Cricetulus griseus: one gene and its partners. The protein of the gene in region 2 interacts with the protein of the main gene of each other region in a pairwise test. Links are inferred from orthologs where the notes say so. Each region holds a gene or a part of one and is shown on either strand. Other genes may lie near its edges. The genes, in order: Golga2, Gpank1, Ccdc184, Pnma1 and Trim23.

The links.
Region 1: the proteins of Gpank1 (region 2) and Golga2 interact in binary tests that used the Homo sapiens proteins (3 or more experiments, as listed by UniProt). The two-hybrid records come from large-scale screens. The link is inferred for Cricetulus griseus from reciprocal best matches to the Homo sapiens genes GPANK1 and GOLGA2.
Region 3: the proteins of Gpank1 (region 2) and Ccdc184 interact in binary tests that used the Homo sapiens proteins (3 or more experiments, as listed by UniProt). The two-hybrid records come from large-scale screens. The link is inferred for Cricetulus griseus from reciprocal best matches to the Homo sapiens genes GPANK1 and CCDC184.
Region 4: the proteins of Gpank1 (region 2) and Pnma1 interact in binary tests that used the Homo sapiens proteins (3 or more experiments, as listed by UniProt). The two-hybrid records come from large-scale screens. The link is inferred for Cricetulus griseus from reciprocal best matches to the Homo sapiens genes GPANK1 and PNMA1.
Region 5: the proteins of Gpank1 (region 2) and Trim23 interact in binary tests that used the Homo sapiens proteins (3 or more experiments, as listed by UniProt). The link is inferred for Cricetulus griseus from reciprocal best matches to the Homo sapiens genes GPANK1 and TRIM23.

The regions. Positions count from the first base shown.
Region 1 is NC_048599.1:144,035,866-144,039,382, reverse strand, and holds part of Golga2 (golgin subfamily A member 2), read right to left. Parts: intron 2,833-3,517; coding exon 2,774-2,832; intron 2,542-2,773; coding exon 2,400-2,541; intron 1,867-2,399; coding exon 1,777-1,866; intron 1,674-1,776; coding exon 1,566-1,673; intron 1,422-1,565; coding exon 1,334-1,421; intron 957-1,333; coding exon 619-956; intron 408-618; coding exon 294-407; intron 1-293. UniProt on the Homo sapiens protein: Peripheral membrane component of the cis-Golgi stack that acts as a membrane skeleton that maintains the structure of the Golgi apparatus, and as a vesicle thether that facilitates vesicle fusion to the Golgi membrane.
Region 2 is NW_023276806.1:231,644,528-231,648,822, reverse strand, and holds the start of Gpank1 (G patch domain and ankyrin repeat-containing protein 1), read right to left. Parts: upstream 2,814-4,295; 5' UTR 2,656-2,813; intron 2,078-2,655; 5' UTR 1,910-2,077; intron 1,763-1,909; exon of another isoform or gene 1,621-1,762; intron 1,497-1,620; 5' UTR 1,495-1,496; coding exon 878-1,494; intron 1-877. Other genes in the region: Csnk2b (casein kinase II subunit beta), read left to right, coding at 3,762-3,833.
Region 3 is NC_048595.1:394,652,678-394,654,948, reverse strand, and holds Ccdc184 (coiled-coil domain-containing protein 184), read right to left. Parts: upstream 1,100-2,271; coding exon 515-1,099; downstream 1-514.
Region 4 is NC_048598.1:119,613,424-119,617,700, forward strand, and holds Pnma1 (paraneoplastic antigen Ma1), read left to right. Parts: upstream 1-1,464; 5' UTR 1,465-2,130; coding exon 2,131-3,192; 3' UTR 3,193-3,919; downstream 3,920-4,277.
Region 5 is NC_048595.1:322,450,735-322,454,251, reverse strand, and holds part of Trim23 (E3 ubiquitin-protein ligase TRIM23), read right to left. Parts: intron 2,090-3,517; coding exon 1,927-2,089; intron 1-1,926.

The DNA of each region.
Region 1 (3,517 bases), on a different chromosome or scaffold from region 2:
ACTTGTATGAGGAAACTCATCTTTTAAGATCAGTAATCAGGTTTGGTGATAGGAAGCATGTGAACAAATGGATGTGAATCCAGCCTGAACCCAGAGCCTTGTATAACCTCTAACTATAAAGACTCACCTTCTGGTCTTGACCCAGACGAAGAGCAGTCCAGGGATAACCATCTCTAATACAACAGTCATAGGCTGACTTGCAAGCCTGCTCCCAGGCTGCAGCTAATCTGTGATGGGCCTTGCATTTCCCCTCTCCAAATCCAGTGGCTGGCACCACATGCAGTAGGTCTTACCGTCTCCTTCAGCTCCCCCAGCCTCTCCTGCAGCTCTCCCAGCTTCTTGGCCAGCTCTTTCTTGACATGCTGCTCTGACTGCAGTGCACTGGTGATCTCCATGTTCTCGTTGGTCTGGACAGAAAGCAGCCGTCAGTAGGACCTAAAGTGGCTAGGGTGCCCAGACCTGCATATGCACCTCCTCCCACAGAGCAAGGAAGGCTTCTGGATCATTCCTACAAGCCCCAGAGCTCTGGCTTGCTGGGTGCCCACACCACTACCATTTCATGTGAGGTGGACAGCACCCCATCCCTTGGGTAAGGAGGCCTGCAGGCTGCGCACGCACCAGCCTGACGAAGCCGTTTTGCAGCTCAGCCAACTGCTCCTTTAGCTCGCGGTTCTGTGACAGCGCTCTGCTGATGGTGGTGCGGTCACTCTGCATGCTCTCCAGGATCTGCTTGCGCTCCTCAGTCTGCTCACTCCAGCGCTCTGCTGCCCGCTCCAGCTCCAGCAGCCGCTCCTCCTGCTCCCGGTTCAGGTGGCTCAGGCTCTCATTATCCTGCACCTGGGCCCTCAGCTGTTCTGTCAGATTCTCCAGTTCCTTCTGCAGTTGTTCAACCTCTCCCTGCAGCCGCTGTTCCACCTCAGAGGGTCCAGCTGGGGGCGGTGGGGGTGGCGGCTCCTCTAAGAAAGGAAGCAGGCAGTGAGGGGAACCGCCCTTGGCTTCTCAGATAGGCTCCATTGTGAGCTCAAGTCAGGCCCCCTGCCCCAAGCCTTGGCTTCTTGTCTGTCAGGGTCTGAGAGGAGGTAAGCATTTCAAACCAGTCTAGTACAGTTAAGTGATACTAAGTCACCTGCAGGGGGTAGCAGTAGCCATGGCACCCTGCTTTGCACAGAGGGACACATGCTCAGAGGGATGACAAGATTTGCTACCTCCTGGCAGAGACCCCTTGCCCTCTGCTACAATGCCCTTGCACCCACCTGCCACCCCAAGGCAATGGAAGCCACCTTAATGGCCTTTGGACCCACTCCTGCTCTCAGGTCACTCTTGCCCTACTCACCCATCTGACTTCTGAGTTCGGCCAAGCTGGTCTCCAGCTCTTGTACCTGACTTTCTCTGTGTTCCTTCTCCTCCTTCAGAGTGTGCACCTGCCCAAAGGCAGAGGGAAAGAGCTGGGGATCCCGGGCACCATCCATTCCCAGTCCCACCTCCATAAAACTGAAGCCCCTAACCCCTCAGCTGCGCCCCACTGATGCTCAGGAAGAGCAAAGACACCAGGGGCCAGGCCTCACCTGCTCTGCCATTTGCTGTACCCTCTGCTGCCACATGGCACTTTCTCCTTTCAGGTTTTCTGCATACTGGTCTCTCTCCATCTGGAGCTGTTTCAGAGACTCCATCAACTGCATCAGTCAACACACAAGTTACAAAGGGCTATCACTGGTTCTCACCGGCCCTTGGCCACCTGGGGTCATGCCATCCTCTCCCCCAACACATCCTCCTCACCTGGCCTACATGGGTCTCCAGCTGAGCCCGCTCCTCCATGGCATGTTGTAACTGCTGGTTACTATCAGAGGCCTCAGATTGGCTTGAGAACTGTAAAAGGAAAATGAAGGTTTCATCCACCACAGTGCTTCCCACAAGAGTGAGCCAGATTAATGGATAACTCATATGAGAAGCTCAGATGCCATGTGAGAAAAGTGCCAGGAGGTGGTGAACAGCCTCTTGCGTGTGTCATTTAAATGAAGCAGAATGATGGCTTTTCAGCTAGGCACAGTGGGTCACACCTGCAACCTCAGCACTTGGAAGGCTAAGGTAGAAAGATTACCATGAGTTCAAGACTAGTCTGGTTGCCTAGTGAGTTACAGGTCAACCTGGCTACTGATAAGACTTTGTCTCAAAATCAATCAATAAATAAAGTAACAAAAAAGATGGTTTTTCAACCAGGATAAATCAAAAAAGAAAACTTTAACAGCCATATCACAACCACTAAGATTATGACTATATAGGTCAGGTCTACAGCAGGACCAGGAGGAGGCTTCAAACTCTCCAGTGCTTGGCTACAGGTCACCACCAAGGATGCTGAGACTGTGTGCCTGGGCCTTAGGGGTATGAGCTGCACCTCTCACCTGCTGCAGCAGCAGCTCCGACATTTCCAGCTTCTTCTGCAGGTCCTCCACCCCTGACTGTGCAGCTGCTTTCTCTGCCACTAAGACTCGAAGTTTCTCTTCCAGTTCTGAGTTCTGCTGCTTCAGGTCCTCATTATTTTTGCTATGGCCAGAGGTAATGCAGAAAAGAAAGAACCAAGAACAGAAAGGACCACATTTTAGAGCAACTTATGAGCCTTGCTACAAAGTCACAGACACAAGTGACAGATCATACCATGAGTCACAAGTATGGCTGGGACTAGCGCATAGATCTACACAAGGCTAAACCTGTCTCCTCTGAGCCTCAATTTCCCACACTAAAGCTGCAGGAAGCCCAACCTCCTTCCCATTCTTACTTGTTCTTGTACAGCTCCAGCTTGAGGGCATCTCGCTCTTTGGTTAGGTCCTTGTTGTACTACAGATAAAGAGAGCTGAGTCTGGACCTGGCAGGCTAAAGAAACAGCTGGCACAACACCAACGGCCCCAGTGATTTCACAGTGACATCTCTTTTTCCCAACCACACTGATGTTTCCCAAGGCTTTTCTAAGCCTGTGGTCTTAGGTTTCTGTGTGTCTGTTTGGTTTTTCTAGACAGGGTTTCTCTGTGTAGCCCTGGATGTCCCTCTCTAGTCCAGGCTGGCTTTAAACTCAGAGATCTGCCTGAGTCTGCCTCCAGTGTGCACCATGACTGCCTGACTTTGTTTTGTTTTTAAGGTGGGGTCACACTATGTTATCATAGCTGGCTTCAACCTCCTGTGCTTAGATGATCTTCCTAATGCAGCCTGGGAGACCAAAAGTCCACACCATCAGTCATAGCCTTCAGGGTTGGTTTTTTTGTTTTGCTTTGTTTTTTGAGATAGGGTTTCTCTGTGTAACTTCAGAGCCTGTCCTCGAACTAGCTCTTGTAGACCAGGCTGGTCTCAAGCTCACAGAGATCTGCCTGCCTCTGCTTCCCAAGTGCTGGGATTAAAGGCGTGCGCCACCACCGTCTGGTGTTTGTTTTTTGGTTTTGTTTAATATTTTTAAAATGTTGTTTATTATATGTGTATTGTTGTTTTGCCTACACATATGTCTAATCACCACAAGCATAAATTATGGATA
Region 2 (4,295 bases):
ACGGAAGCCAAGGCTGTTCAGGCACCTGGTGGAGCAGGGTGGCACACTTCATGCCTTACTTCTAATTTTAGCATCATCTTTTTGCTTTTTTCCGAGACAGGGTTTCTCTGTGTAGCTTTGGAGCCTATCCTGGCACTTGCTCTGTAGACCAGGCTGGCCTCAAACTCACAGAGACCCGCCTGCCTCTACCTCCCGAGTGCTGGGATTAAAGGCATGCGCCACCAACGCCCGGCTTAGCATCATTTTTGTTTTATCTTGCGTTGGATAGGCACCCCGGGGTCTTCGAAGTGTTAGCCAAGTGTTCCACTGCCAAGCTATACCAGCCCCTCTCCATCTGTGCAGAGGGACCATTTGGGATACCGTGAGGTGGACCTCAGCTCTTAGGAATAATGAGTAGAGCTAAAGCTTATTTTTTTTTTTTTTTTGCGGGGGAGGTTGAGACAGGGTTTCTCTGTAGCTTTGGAGGCTGTCCTGGAACTCACTCTGTAGACCAGGCTGGTCTTGAACTCAACAGAGATCCGCCTGCCTCTGCCTGCCGAGTGCTGGGACTAAAGGCGTGCGCCATCACCGTGTGGCGAGCTGATGCTTATGACCACACTATGTGACAGCCACTGTTCCATCACTTTCCACATTAACCTGCTGCATCTTAACGACTGCGAGACAGGTGCTTATCCCCACTTCTCAGACAAGGAGAGGTTTACAGACATTAGGCTGACGTTGCAAGAAAACGAAGCCAAGATTTAGTGAGCAAAGACCATGGCCATTGTCGCTCTGTGACAGGAACTAGCTACACTGGAGGATGAAGAGCCCCCGAATGGGGTGTCCAGGAAAGGCAGAACACAATAAAGGTGGGTATGAGCTAGCGCTCCCTCCTCACCGGCTCTGGTTCTCGGGGCTCCTTGTCTCTCCACGGCTCTCTCTGACCATGCGGGCCACCTCAGGGAAGCCCGCTTCTTCGGCCAGCTGAGCAGCATCTCTGCCTCCCAGCTCACAGACTCCTACCCAGGCAGCACCCCGGTCCAGAAGATAGCACACGGCAGCCGCTTGGCCTGCTCTGGCGGCGCACATCAGGGGAGTCCACCAGAAGGCATCGCGTGCATTGATGTTCCCTCCAGCTCCCCCTGCCTCCCGGGGTTCCAGCAGCCTTCGAAGTTCTGTCAGATCCCCGTTCTGGGCTGCCAGCAGGATCCACTGGGTCATCCTGTCGTCATCCTCTGGTGGCAGTGGCCTTCCTTGCCCCGAGGCTCCTGCTGCCACCGCCGCAGCCTCCCTGGTCCCTCTCCTTTTCCTCCTCTTTTGTCCTCTGACAGGGCCAGCTCTCTGGGGCTTAGGGGAGCTACTCTCATCTGCAATTAGAGCCTCGTAGAAAGCCCGGGCTGCGGCCCCATCCAGGACTGGCCCTGGCTTCTCAGGCTGTGGTTGCTGCTGCCCATCTTTCCAGAGGTCGCTGGAGTCGGTGGCTGGAGTAAATGCGATGAGGGACGGCCTGGACATGGCTTTGGGGAGAAACGAGGAAAGAAGGCTGGGAAAGGCTGTGATGAACACTCCAACCCGATGTAATGACCAGCACCACCCCCAGGGCCTGCTGGGATGAGAAAGCCGCCTAGAACTAAAACAGACCTCTCACTCCCCGACCCTAGGATCTTGTAGACCCCTGGAATGGCAGATGCTGAACAGATGTTAATTAAGTATCATGAGGGCATGGTAGATTAGGTTCTTTGTAGAATGCTCGCCTCGAATTTGGGAGGTCTGGGTTCTATCTCTACAACAGGAAAGAAAAAAAAAATGATAATAGGAAAGAATGTTCCCCCAGGCACTTGTCTAGGGGCCCTGCGTTCTACTCCCTTCTCCCTTCAAACAAAAACAGCAGGCTGTCTCTGAAAACCTTTTCCCACCCTGTAACACATACCGTTAGGGAATATCGGCCGGGACTTTTAAATCTTGCTCGATCTTACGTGGGGCTGGGGGGGGGTGTCTCCTTTTCCCAAAGAAAAACAGGCGTGACATCATTCCAGAAGGTGTCGGGGTAAAAGCGTTGCACTGTCACTTCCGTACCGAAAAATGGCGCTCTCGTCATCTGCAAGAGTTGACACAATCCGACACCCACCTGGCACAGAGACGCATGCGCAGCAGCCAACCACAACAAAACACCCACAAGGTTCAGTTTCCCGCGCTGGAACCTTCCCAAGCATCCGCGTCAGGCATCGCGTGCCCAGACAGCGCGAGGGCCCAGGGGGACCTGTCGGTTGGGGTCCTACTTTTACATAACGCCCCCACAATGCTCTTCGCCACCCTCGACGTGGTCCCTCCCGCTCCAAGCCCCTCTTGTGGAGCCGGGAGGCCTGAGGACGCCAGGGAGCCGCGGGATGCCGGGCAGCCGCGAGACGCGCTAACACCACGGCGCCCCTCACCGCTACTCCGAGCAGGGCTCGAAGAGCAAGCAGCTCACGTGGGGTCCGCAGCAGCAGCAGCAGCAGCAACAGCAGCAGCAGCAGCAAGCAGCAGCAACACATGGAGAAGTGCAAAGGGATGAGCGGCAGAATGGCAGGCGCCACCTCAGGTTAGCGCGCGGGGCGGTGCAGCAGGTCCCCCGCCCCCGCCGCCCGGCTCGGCAGCCCAAGCCCTGCGACCTCAGCCCCGCACTCCGAGCCGCACCTCCGGGCCGCATGCCTGGTCCTCGGCGACGGTGTCAGTCCCCGGGGCGGCAGGGACGACCGGAGCGGGACGGAGCGGGCGCGCAGCGGGGACCTCAGCGGCCGCCGGCGCCGGCTCGCAGCCTGCCGAGCCCAAAGCGCGTAGGACTATATTTCCCAGGCTTCCCGGTCGGGAAGGCGGCTGTAACCTGGCTTCCGCTTCCGGTGGAGGCTCGGCTCGCCCCGCCCCCAGGCGGCTTCCGCTAGGGCCTCGCGACCCCGGAGTCATGCGCGCGGACTCTTGGGATTGGTGGTTCGCCGTCCCCGCATCGCGTCACTTTCTGCCTCTCTACGGGACTCCATTTCCCGGCGTCCCTAGGGGCAGGGGCGGTCCTCGGCGCCTGCGCGTTGCCCTCTCTCCCTCCCCACCCTCCCCAGTTCCCCTTCCCCCCTCCCCACTTCGCCTGCCGCGGTCCGCTCGGCTTCCTGCGCTGTAGCGGTCGCTGCGGTTCCTTCGAAGCTCGGCTCCCCTTCCCCGCCCCAGTCCCAGTCCCCGTCCGGCCGGTGAGTCTGCGCTCGTCCCCGCGCCGCGGCGCCGGGCTCCGCGCTCCGAGATGTGGGGGCGAGGAAGGAAGGGACCGGGTCGGCGGCCGAAGGAGGCCGGGTGGCCTGAGGAGAGGAGCGGCTGTGGGGACGCTCGTGGGTCCCGCGGGGGTGCGGGGCTCCCGCCGGCGCCGCGAGGCCCCGAGAGGCGGGCTCGGGGGGGAGGATGGACTCGGGAAGCCTCGGGACGGGCGCCAGGCGAGTGCCTCGGTGGGGCCGCGCGGGCCGCGCGCGGCCGGGGGCCGGGGGGCCGGGGGGCCGGGGCCTGGCCTCGCGCCGGGCAACACCCACAGATCGGGACCTGTCACCCCCTGGGAAGGAGTGGAGCTGGTTCTCACCACGCTGTCGGGGGGCTGAGGTAAAGAAGAGAGGCGTGGAGAGCGGTGCTTCACGGGCCGGGGCCACTCAACGCCAGTGGCCTCGGATTCCTCCGCCGTTGAGGAGACCGTGTGTGTGGGAGGAGGGAAGAGACCAAGAAACAGCCTGGTCTCCACTTAACGCCCTTCTTCCTCAGCCGACGTAAAGATGAGTAGCTCTGAGGAGGTTTCCTGGATTTCCTGGTTCTGTGGGCTCCGTGGTAATGAGTTCTTCTGTGAGGTGAGTTTAGCTGGCTTTCTGGGCCCTCTCCACGTGCCCTCGGTGTTTTCGTTGTATGTTGTCTGAGATGAGATTTCCCCCGAAGCTGACTGTGTAGCCCAGACTGTCCTTGAACTCCTGGCAATCCTAGTGCCTCAGTCTCCTGAGCGCTGGGGTTCACTCTGTGCATGGCTAACAGAGGTATCGCTGGTGACCGTCAGGAAAGTTAAAATGTTTCATGTAACATGAAAACCACAGTGTGGTAACGTAGGAAATGATCAATGCCTGTGAGAGTCTGATGTCCCAGAGCAGAGAGCAAACCCGGGTCCTTTAGAGGAGGGAGACAAGTTGAATAATGCGCTGTACCTTGTTGGCCCGGAAAGAAGAGAGCTGCGGTTTCTGTGGGAGACGGAACACCTCTGCAGAAGTGAGAATAGGAAACAAGGGGAGCCGATGCGGTCGTTTGTCTCCTGGGCCAGGTGA
Region 3 (2,271 bases), on a different chromosome or scaffold from region 2:
ACCAATCAACAGCCGCAGAGATCTGTGAGGGGAGAGGCTTCTGCAGAGCACTCTATGTCTTGGATTTCAGCAAAAGGGTGAAATTCCTGTTACCAGAACAGAATATACCCCAATTCCTTAATTTCTAGGTAAATAGAGATTATTTGCCAAAGTCCTAGATGAGTCCTTGTTCAGAATAGAAAAAGAATTTTATTTACATAATTCAATGGTCCTCCTGTTTCCTGGGAAGAAGGGAAAGGGCAAGGTAAGGGGATGGATGGGAGTCCCAGAGATGGGCACTTCCTCTCCGGGAACCTCACCTTTCTGCAGTTTTGCTATGATGCGTGATTGGGTGGAATTCAAGATGCCTCCAAAGTCCTTCACCCTACAAATCCTTATGTGAGGGAGTCTCTCTCCCTGACCTATAAGAACCACGTTAGGAGTGAAGCACATTGCACCGCACTGTTCAATCCCCTGGCATTAAGCGCTTGGAAACCCAAAGCCCAGGTAGTTGGTGCCCTGGTGGGGTTTCCCCTTACAGAGAAACCTCGCCCTCCAGCTGCAGCAGGGTAATGTCAGGCAGGTCGAGGGGCTCCACAAGTGGCCCATCCTCCCCAAGGAGACCAGCACAGGGGCTCTCAGAGCGCTCACGGTGACTGGTGGGTGTGGCGGGGCTGGGCATCGCTTTCTCCTCCTCTTCATCCTCCTCCTCCTCTGGATCGCGACCCAGCAAGCCCCCGTCCCCGATCCCAATCGAAGGTGTCTCTGGCTCGTGGGGAACACTCGGGAAGCTCCCCTTGCCTGCAGCCACGCCCAAGCCTCCCTGGCGGGGCGCGGTGGTCATAATCTGGCACATAGAGACTATGGCCCTCTGGTTGGCGCACACGTCGTCCGACAAAACCTGGATGTGCGAGGCCTGCTCGTCCAGCGCCCCTCGCATAGCCCTCACGTCCTCAAACAGGGCCTGCAGCTGGGCCTTCAGGTGCTCCATCAGTTCCTTCATGCCGCCGTTATACTCCCCAGAGATCACGTCCCCCACGGCTGGCACTGTGGACACCTCCAAAGGTGCCGGCATGTCTCCACCGTCCTTGGTCATGATCTCCAGCAGACTGTCCTCCATTGAGTGTCAGAAGCCGGCTGTGGCAGCTCTGGGTCGCTTCCAGCCGGGCCTCCAGGGTGGGGGAAGGATGTGGAGGGGAAGAGGTCCCGAGAGGGACAGGATGGTGCCCAGGGACACCTAGTCTCCCTAGAGGGACGGGTAGCCGACGTGAAAAGGGCAGTCCCAGGCAGAGGGCGCCGGCAGGATCAAGGAAGACAGACAAGAGTCCACACAACGAAGACCCGTCTAGGATCCTGAAGCCAGCGTCTTCGGGCTTGCCCAGGGACAAAAGTGCAATGCCAGCTAGCCTCCGGGGTTGGTGCCTGTGTCCCAGCCGCCCTCCTGGCAACCACCGTCAGAGTGCCTGCAGGCTCTCCGGGTCACAGAGGCGCTCGCAGAGAGGTCAGGGTCAAGACGGGAACCTGCAGCGCGTCGTTCTGGGGACTTCCCCCCGCACCCGGGCTATCCACCAACAGAGCCCGCGAGTGCGGCTGGAGCGGCAGGGGCGGGTCTCCCGGCAGCGCCGCGGATGCTCCCCCGTTTCCAAGGCGACGCACGGCACGTAAATGACGTGTGTCTCCATGGCAACGAGGAAGTGGAGAAGAAAGGGAACGCGGTTCCAGAAGCTGCAGTGGAGCTCTCTTGTATGGGCTGACGGGCGGACGGGGCGGGGACGCTGCAGTGGCCTCAGAGAAACTGCAAAGAGAGTGTGGCTGCAATGTTTAATAGGACAGCATGAGAGAGCAGTTTGCTGCACGTCCCCACCCCCACCCCCAAGCCCGAGAGAGACGTCCGCCTAGGAGGGCTTTTCACCAGCTCTGTGCATTCCTTCCTTGGAGAATAGCACGAGAGTCAGACCCTGCCCTTGTCCTCCAGCGGTCGGTGGGACTGGGTAGAGAGGAGATTGTTAATAATCCCAGGGGAGCTTGCCGTGCCAGGCCTGGCGATGGTGCGGAGGGAGGACGAGGGCACGACCGATTTCTGCCTCTTCCTTCTGCTGCACAAACCCGTTCCCTCGCTCCAGAAAACACAGGGTGAGATGCTGTCCCTTTTGGGACCCAACTGCTTCTACCCAGGTTGCTGTGAGTTTATGAGAATGGTGAAGCTAACTAAGTACTTAAATTGTGAGAATGAAAACTCCATAACAACAGATTTCCCTCCCCTGCACCCCGCATCACGGAATCCCCAGCGCT
Region 4 (4,277 bases), on a different chromosome or scaffold from region 2:
TTTAAAAAAGACTGTTACATATTAAATAGTGTACATATATATAAATATTACCTCTTTTGCTGTACAGTTGTGATAGACCAGACTGAAAATTTTATTTTTTGTGTGCTTTTTATAAAAAAATTAATACACTAAAGAGAATCTTGCTGTGATTGTAATGTACCTATGTAACTTATTTACTTTTGAATGTTCTGTATCTTAAGACCTTTTATTAAATAAAAATTTTAAAAAATTCACTGTTGAATGCCATATTCTTGGTTTTTCTTTTTCTTTTCTTTCCTTTTTTTTTTTTTTTTTTTTTTGAGACACGTTTTCTCTGTATTGTTTTGGAGGTTGTTCTGGAACTTGCTCTGAAGACCAGGCTGGCCTTGAACTCACAGAGATCCGCCTGCCTCTGCCTCCCGAGTGCTGGGATTAAAGGAGTTTGCCACCAATGCCCGGCGCCATATTCTTTTTTTTGTAACGATTTGTTTATTTTTATTTTATTTGCATTTGTGTTCTGTGTCTGCATGTGTATCAGTGTGAGGTTGTTAGATCTTTGGGAACTGGGGTTACCGACAGGTGTGAGCTGCCATGTGGGTTCGGGGAATTGAACCCAGGTCCTTTGGAATAGCAGCCAATGCTCCTAACCAGTGAGCCTTCTATCCAGCCCCCAATGCCATATCTTTATAGGGGTGGGGTTTGTGTGTTTATTTATTTATTTGATTTTTTGAGGCAGGGTTTCTCTGTGTAGTTTTGGAGCCTGGCCGGGAACTCAATTTATAGATCAGGTTTGCCTTGAACTCACAAAGCTCCTCCTGCCTCTGCCTCCCGAGTGCTGGGATTAACGGCATGGGCCACCAAGGCCCGCCTGATTTATAGGGATGTTTTTGCCAGCTGGGATTGACAGGCCTTGCTTGAAGAGAATTTACCCTACCTTTCTGAGCCTTAAGCATTCTCTTTTGTTATCCTGTATACTCAGTAAGATCAAGAAATGAAAGTGTTTGCAGTTTGCCTGGCTACAAAGAAGTAGCAGCAGCAGCATTTTGTTGGTTTTTTTTATATATATATATACAAAATTTAGGCAAGAAAGCATAGTAAGTCTCACAGGAACCTGGAGATGGCATTCTGTCTTTTGCTTTCCTGGGGAGGAGCAAGCAGCAGCTGTGGTGTGTGGTCAGGAGGTACGCAGAAGTCAGAGTGCTGAGTGTTTTCATGGGCTGCATAGTGAATGCATAAGCTGGATGAGCAACATGAGACAGACAAGTCTGTCGTGGTGGATGCGTATCAATAAGGCCAACTTAAATTCACAGCAAAATTAGATTAAGAAAAAAAGAAAACGATGCTTTGCAATATTTATTGTTAAGAAAGAAGCTGGGAAATACGTGTGTGTGTGTGTGCGCGCGCGCGCGCGCCATCACAAAATAGACTCCTCAACCCCTCGGTACCATAGCAACCGCCAGATCCTCTGGAGCTCGCGCATCTCCCGTCGTCATGGATACGGTTGCCACGGCGACACTGACGAGCGGACCGGCCCCGCCCTGCACTGCAGCTGCACGGCGGCGGCCGTTGCGGGAGCGCGCTGCTCTAGACGCTGAGCGGAGCTGCCTCCATCCGGCCTCCCGCCTTCCGCGCCTCCCTGAGGCCTCCGTCCCCGGTGCTCGCCTGCTGCCGCAGCCGCCGGACCCGAGTACCGCCTCTCCCGGCGTCTTCCCAGCCACTGCCTCGCGTGACCCTACGCCCGCGCCTACCGCCGGCCGGCCGGCCCGAGAGCGGCGGGGGGGAGCTGCCACACCCCGCGACCGCACCCGGCCGTCTCCCTCGTGAAGCTGAAGCCCACCGCCTTGCGCCAACCTTGCTTCTCCCCTGCCCGCCGTGAGGCCACGAATAGCTGCGGCCAGCCCGCACCTGCTCGGACCAAAGAGGGCGACATTCGATAGGCAGAGTGCCCCGAGGCACCTGACACTACTGACTTTGGGACCCGGAAGGGACGAGACTGGACTCCGGTGTCACTGGTAATTGTGGTTGCTTGAAGCTTGTCGCCCCCTGGCCTACCCGGGGGAGGGAGGCATGTTGTATTGTCCTAGGTCCTATAGCACTGCGAGCCAGTCCAGTCGGTGTCTGTAGAACTGGCACCCTTAATAGTGGGGCGAAATGGCTTTGACGCTCTTGGAAGACTGGTGCAGGGGAATGGATGTGAACTCTCAGAGAGCTCTGCTGGTCTGGGGGATCCCTGTGAACTGTGATGAGGCTGAAATCGAAGAGACCCTCCAAGCTGCCATGCCCCAAGTGCCCTACCGAGTACTGGGGAGAATGTTCTGGAGGGAAGAAAATGCGAAGGCAGCCTTGTTAGAGCTCACCGGGGAAGTGGATTACTCCCTGATCCCTAGAGAGATGCCAGGCAAAGGAGGGCTCTGGAAAGTGTTCTTTAAGCCCCCCACTTCTGATGCGGAGTTTCTGGAGAGGCTGCACCTCTTTCTAGCTAGGGAAGGGTGGACTGTGCAAGATGTTGCTCGTGTGCTTGGGTTTCAGAACCCTGCTCCCGCTCCAGGCCCAGAAATGCCAGCAGAGATGCTCAATTATATTTTGGATAATGTTATTCAACCTCTTGTTGAGTCCATATGGTATAAGAAGCTGACGCTATTCTCTGGGAGGGACATTCCCGGGCCTGGCGAGGAGACCTTTGATTCCTGGCTGGAGCACTCGAATGAGGTCATAGAAGAATGGCAGGTGTCTGATATAGAAAAGAGACGGCGGTTGATGGAGAGTTTGAGAGGCCCTGCTGCTGATGTCATTCGCATCCTCAAGACCAACAACCCAGCCATAACCACCGCGGAATGCCTGAAGGCTCTTGAGCAGGTGTTTGGGAGCGTGGAGAGCTCTAGAGATACACAGGTCAGATTTCTGAACACTTACCAGAACCCCGGGGAAAAGTTGTCATCTTACGTCATTCGTCTGGAGCCTCTGCTACAAAAGGTAGTGGAAAAGGGGGCCATTGATAAAGATAACGTGAACCAGGCTCGCCTGGAGCAGGTCATCGCCGGGGCCAACCACAGTGGGGCCATCCGAAGGCAATTGTGGCTGACTGGGGCTGCGGAACGACCGGCACCCAACCTCTTCCAGTTGCTGGTGCAGATTCGAGAGGAGGAAGCCAAGGAGGAGGAAGAGGAAGCTGAGGCAGCCCTTTTGCAGCTAGGCCTGGAGGGGCACTTCTGAGTCCCTGGATCAGTCTGGCTGCTTTTGTTATCCCTGTGCGGTTTTACAAGCCTTGCCTCTCATAGTAAAGACCTAGCCTCCTGTTTTTGTTTTGTTTTCTGGGGGATGGGATAGGGGAGTCAGGCCTGCGTATTTGTGTAGCAGTCACAGAATTGCGTGATTGGCCAGGGCTGCAACAGTAGAGGTGGTTCATACTGCCTAAAATGAATGCTTGATGCAAGCCCTCCTAGTGACATCTTTGACAGTTGTGAAAAATGTGAAGCTGAGACACTTCCTGTCAGGATGATTGTGAAAGTGCAAGCCTGCTTCACAGGCTGTATGGTACAGACTGACATTTGTTACTAATATTGTGGATAGTTTTACTGTACATTGTCCCTAATTTATATACATGGGAAGAATATGAGTCTGTTAGATGATACTGCTCATTTTGAAAATTCAGATTTCTCATTCCTCACGGCTCAACATCAGAACCAGTTTACCAGCAAAGTACTCTAGGATTAAAATTGGCAAGTTAGAAAAATGTGATTTTTATGAAGAGGCACAACCTACTTTTCATGGTGTAAGATACAAATATAAGTCAGGGGGAATTTCCATAAACAAGCTACATTTTCCCCACATGAATTATTTGTCATTTAATTATTGGTCATGTTGATGCTAAGTGTTCTAAATTTGAAGTTATCAAATAGATGTATACAAATAAAAATGTGAAAATTCTCATCTTGCTTTTCCTGACATGTATAAAAAATTTTCAGTGTAACTTAGCTCTGCACATTTTTTCTCTGCACATTTTTGCTCATGTCAAAAAATTTTTTAATCTCCTTGCTATGAGCTTAAATTGCAATATCACCTACACATTCTTGTGTTGCCGGTTCCTCGGTTATTGTTTTGTTTCTTTTTCACGGTCCCACTCGATAGCTAGCTGAGGCTGGCTTGGAATTCACTCTGTAGCCCAGGCTGGCCTCAAACTTGTAGCAATCCTCCTGCCTCCAGCCTCCACAGTGCTAGGGTTACAGGTGTGAGCCACCTCACCCAGCTATTTCTTTTAGATACAGTCTCACTATCTAGCTCCGGCTAGTCTTGAACTT
Region 5 (3,517 bases), on a different chromosome or scaffold from region 2:
AATAGCTCAGATTAGGAACTGATAATAATCAATAAGGGCAGTTTTCTTCTAGAAGAGGGAATTACAAATGATCTTTTATATTTTTCTCAAATGTTTGTAATACATAGAATGTATAGTACTATATTATGTATATATATATCGTATATATAGTATATACTGTATGTATACAGTATAATATGTAGTATACACACACACACACACACACACACACACACACACACACACACACACACGCATAGACTATTTCTATGATACAAATACAAGCAGATCTTTAAAAACCTGGAAGCTAGTAATCAAGTCACTAGCATATTCCACAGACAAAGCACAGTCATAGTCATAGTCACTACAATCTTTATTCAAGTCAGAGATGGGATCACTAATGTTGGTATGACAGGAGTTGATTCCAACCTCTGATGTGACTAACTGCTCCCTGTCATAACTTCTGCTTTCAACACTAAGTGTAGCAACCCCCACACTGTGGTATTGCAGAAAAAGTAGAGGGTTCTCCCAAACAGTGGAAAAGGTTCTAGCCTACATTTGCAAAATGTTACCATTTCTACACATCTAGTTGTATATGAAGAAAGGATAATTTCTTTTTGTTTTACAGAATGAAAAGTCAACTAAATGAAAGTCAACTAAATGAACCTTTAAAACAGAGACATCTCTTCCATTACTATTATTTTGTGGTTTATAGTAGGTTAATGCTATCTATATAATGTCATTAGTGCCTTGCATTAGTTTCCTGGAGAATATACATAATACTTATTTATATGAGAACAGCCAAAATCAAAGACAACATGTTAAAGCCATATTTCCTAGCATTTGAAAGCCTAAATATAGAGACAGCTTTGCTTCCTTTTATGGGTAGCTAAATTATTTAATTTTAACATATAGTGTGACTATATTTGTCATTTATTACATTTATGTTATCTTCTGTGTAGGGGTGTACGTACACACATATATGGAAGGGTGCCACCACACAAGTGTGGAGTTGAGAGAATAACTTGCAGGAGTCAGTTAACTCCTCCCACCAGCCCTGGCCTTAAGTAGTGCTAAAGACCTTAAAAAAAAAAAAAAAAAAATCAGCCTTAAAAATTATTTTGGAAAAAATTCTTTTATCTTACAGAGTAAATTAAGAACTTATATTAAATTGTGAAATAATTTTTCACATGCTAATGTTCTACTTTCTAGATCTAGGCCCCTGAGATAGATTCTTTGATAAAGACACTTGCTGCAAGCCTGATCACCTGTTTTGGACACAGACACACACAAATAGATGTAATATTTTTAATTTTTAAAATCTGTGAATAGTGATTCTGAAGTAGTTTTAGAAGTATGAAAGGACCTATCTGGCATAGTGGCACACACCTTTAATCCCAGGACTGAACTGGGGAACTAAAAGCAGGCAGATCTTTAAGTTCAAGGCCAGTCTGGTCTACAAAGCAAGTTCCAAGACAGCCAGGGCTACACAGAGAAACCCTGTTTCAAAAAGAAAGAAAGGAAGGAAGGAAAGAAGGAAGGAAGGAAGGAAGGAAGGAAGGAAGGAAGGAAGGAAGGAAGGATGGAAGGAAGGAAGGGAGTTAGTTGAAACTGAGACTCAAATGACTTAATATATATTTTGACTACCTGCTTGTTCATTTAAAAAAAAAAAGTTATTGGATTGATGGCTTTAGGCAAAGGGTTTAATCTGTGATGAATACAGTATTCTCATTTCTTTGAATTAGGGTAGTACTTAAGTTCTCAGCATTAAGTATTGAATATAAGTCTCAGATTTCCACTGGTAATTAAGAGTGAGCTAGCTTAACAGAATCCCATTGACCTTAACAGAAACTCAAAATTCTAAAAGCTCTTGGAACTTAACCTAAAAAATCAAGTGTAAAGAAATTGTTTTCTCCGTCATTTGTGTTACACGAATAATTTTCCTACCTAGGTCTGTTACTTGTCGATCAAATGGGCAACGTATTGCTCTTCCATGCAGAGGCAAGCGAGTGAGACAGTCATGACAGACTGTGTGACCACAAAGGAGGAGGCGAGGAACTTTATCCCCTTGCAAAGAGAAGACATCTTCACAAACCCCACACTCCAGAACCTAGTATTGGAAACAGAAACATGTGTCTATAAACACTATTAAAACAATATTCTAGTATTTTAGATTTAAAAAGAATTGACCTAGTTAATATACTTACTCAATCTTATTACTTAATTCCTCCATGGGGGGGGACTAAATTATGAAACCTTAAATCACATTTTTATTCATTTCCATTTGACAGACCTTGTCAAAGTGAAACCTCCTTGAAATACTCTTATGTTGCAAATTAATATAAGAAACATAATCTAATCTCCTGAAAACTGAACATGTAGCAATTTATAATTCTACTGAAACCCCCATCAACAATCATTCACTTTGCTTTTCCTTTTTTAAAAAAAGTTTTGAGATTTATTTTTGTGTATGGATGTTTGCCTGAATATATGTCTGCGCACCTTGTTGGTATAGTGCCCACAGAAGTCAGAAGAGAGTATAAGATTCCCTGGAGCTAGAGTAACAGATGGTTGTGAGCCACCATGTGGGTACTGAAAAATCAAACCAGATCCTCTGAAACAGCAGTCAGTATTCTCAACAGATTAGTCATCTCTCTAAACCCTGGTTTATTTCCTTGTTAGATGACATTTCACTGAGCAGCTCTGAATGGACCTCAGTCCAGGCTGGCCTCAAATATACAGTGATCCTCCTGCCTCTGCCTCCCAAATGCTAGATTATGGGATGTATCATTATGTCCAGTTAAAACACCATTGACTTTAAAAAAAAAAAAAAAATCTAGGGCTGGAGAGATGGCTCAGTGGTTAAGAGCACTGACTGTTCTTCCAGAGGTCCTGAGTTCAATTCCCAGCACCCACATGGTGGCTCACAACCATCCATTATGAGATCCGGTGCCCTCTTATACTGTGCAGATAGACATGGAAGCAGAATGTTGTATACATAATAAATAAATAAAATCTTTAAAAAAAAATCTAAAATGTGTATTGGGATGACACTCAATTTTCTAAACTATAAAAAAATTTGTAAGAATGTCTCCAAGGAATATTCAATTATCTTCTAAACTTCACAAAATAATGTAAGGGCAAAAGCCAGATTAGCTGAAAATTAAATTTCAATTCCTATTCTTTATTAATAAGTAACTCTGGCTTGGAAAATATTTGACTATCTAGTTGTAATCACAGGTATATATACCAAATACTATATGTACCAAAAGGCACTCAAAAAAAAAAAAAGCTGTGAGAACTGACTCACTCTGAATCTCAGGTCCATGGGTTAATTATTTTATAAATAATCATAAACTGTAACTATCATAGCATACCATTTTCAGTGCCTTTACAACTAACTATTGTTTGTGTTGTTTTCAGTTTTAATTACTTTTTAAAAATATTCACAATGAATTATTCCATTGTCTCCCGATCAAGCCACACTACAGAATCCTATGGTCCAAGTGTGTCGCTGGATAGGACTCTTGCTTTATAC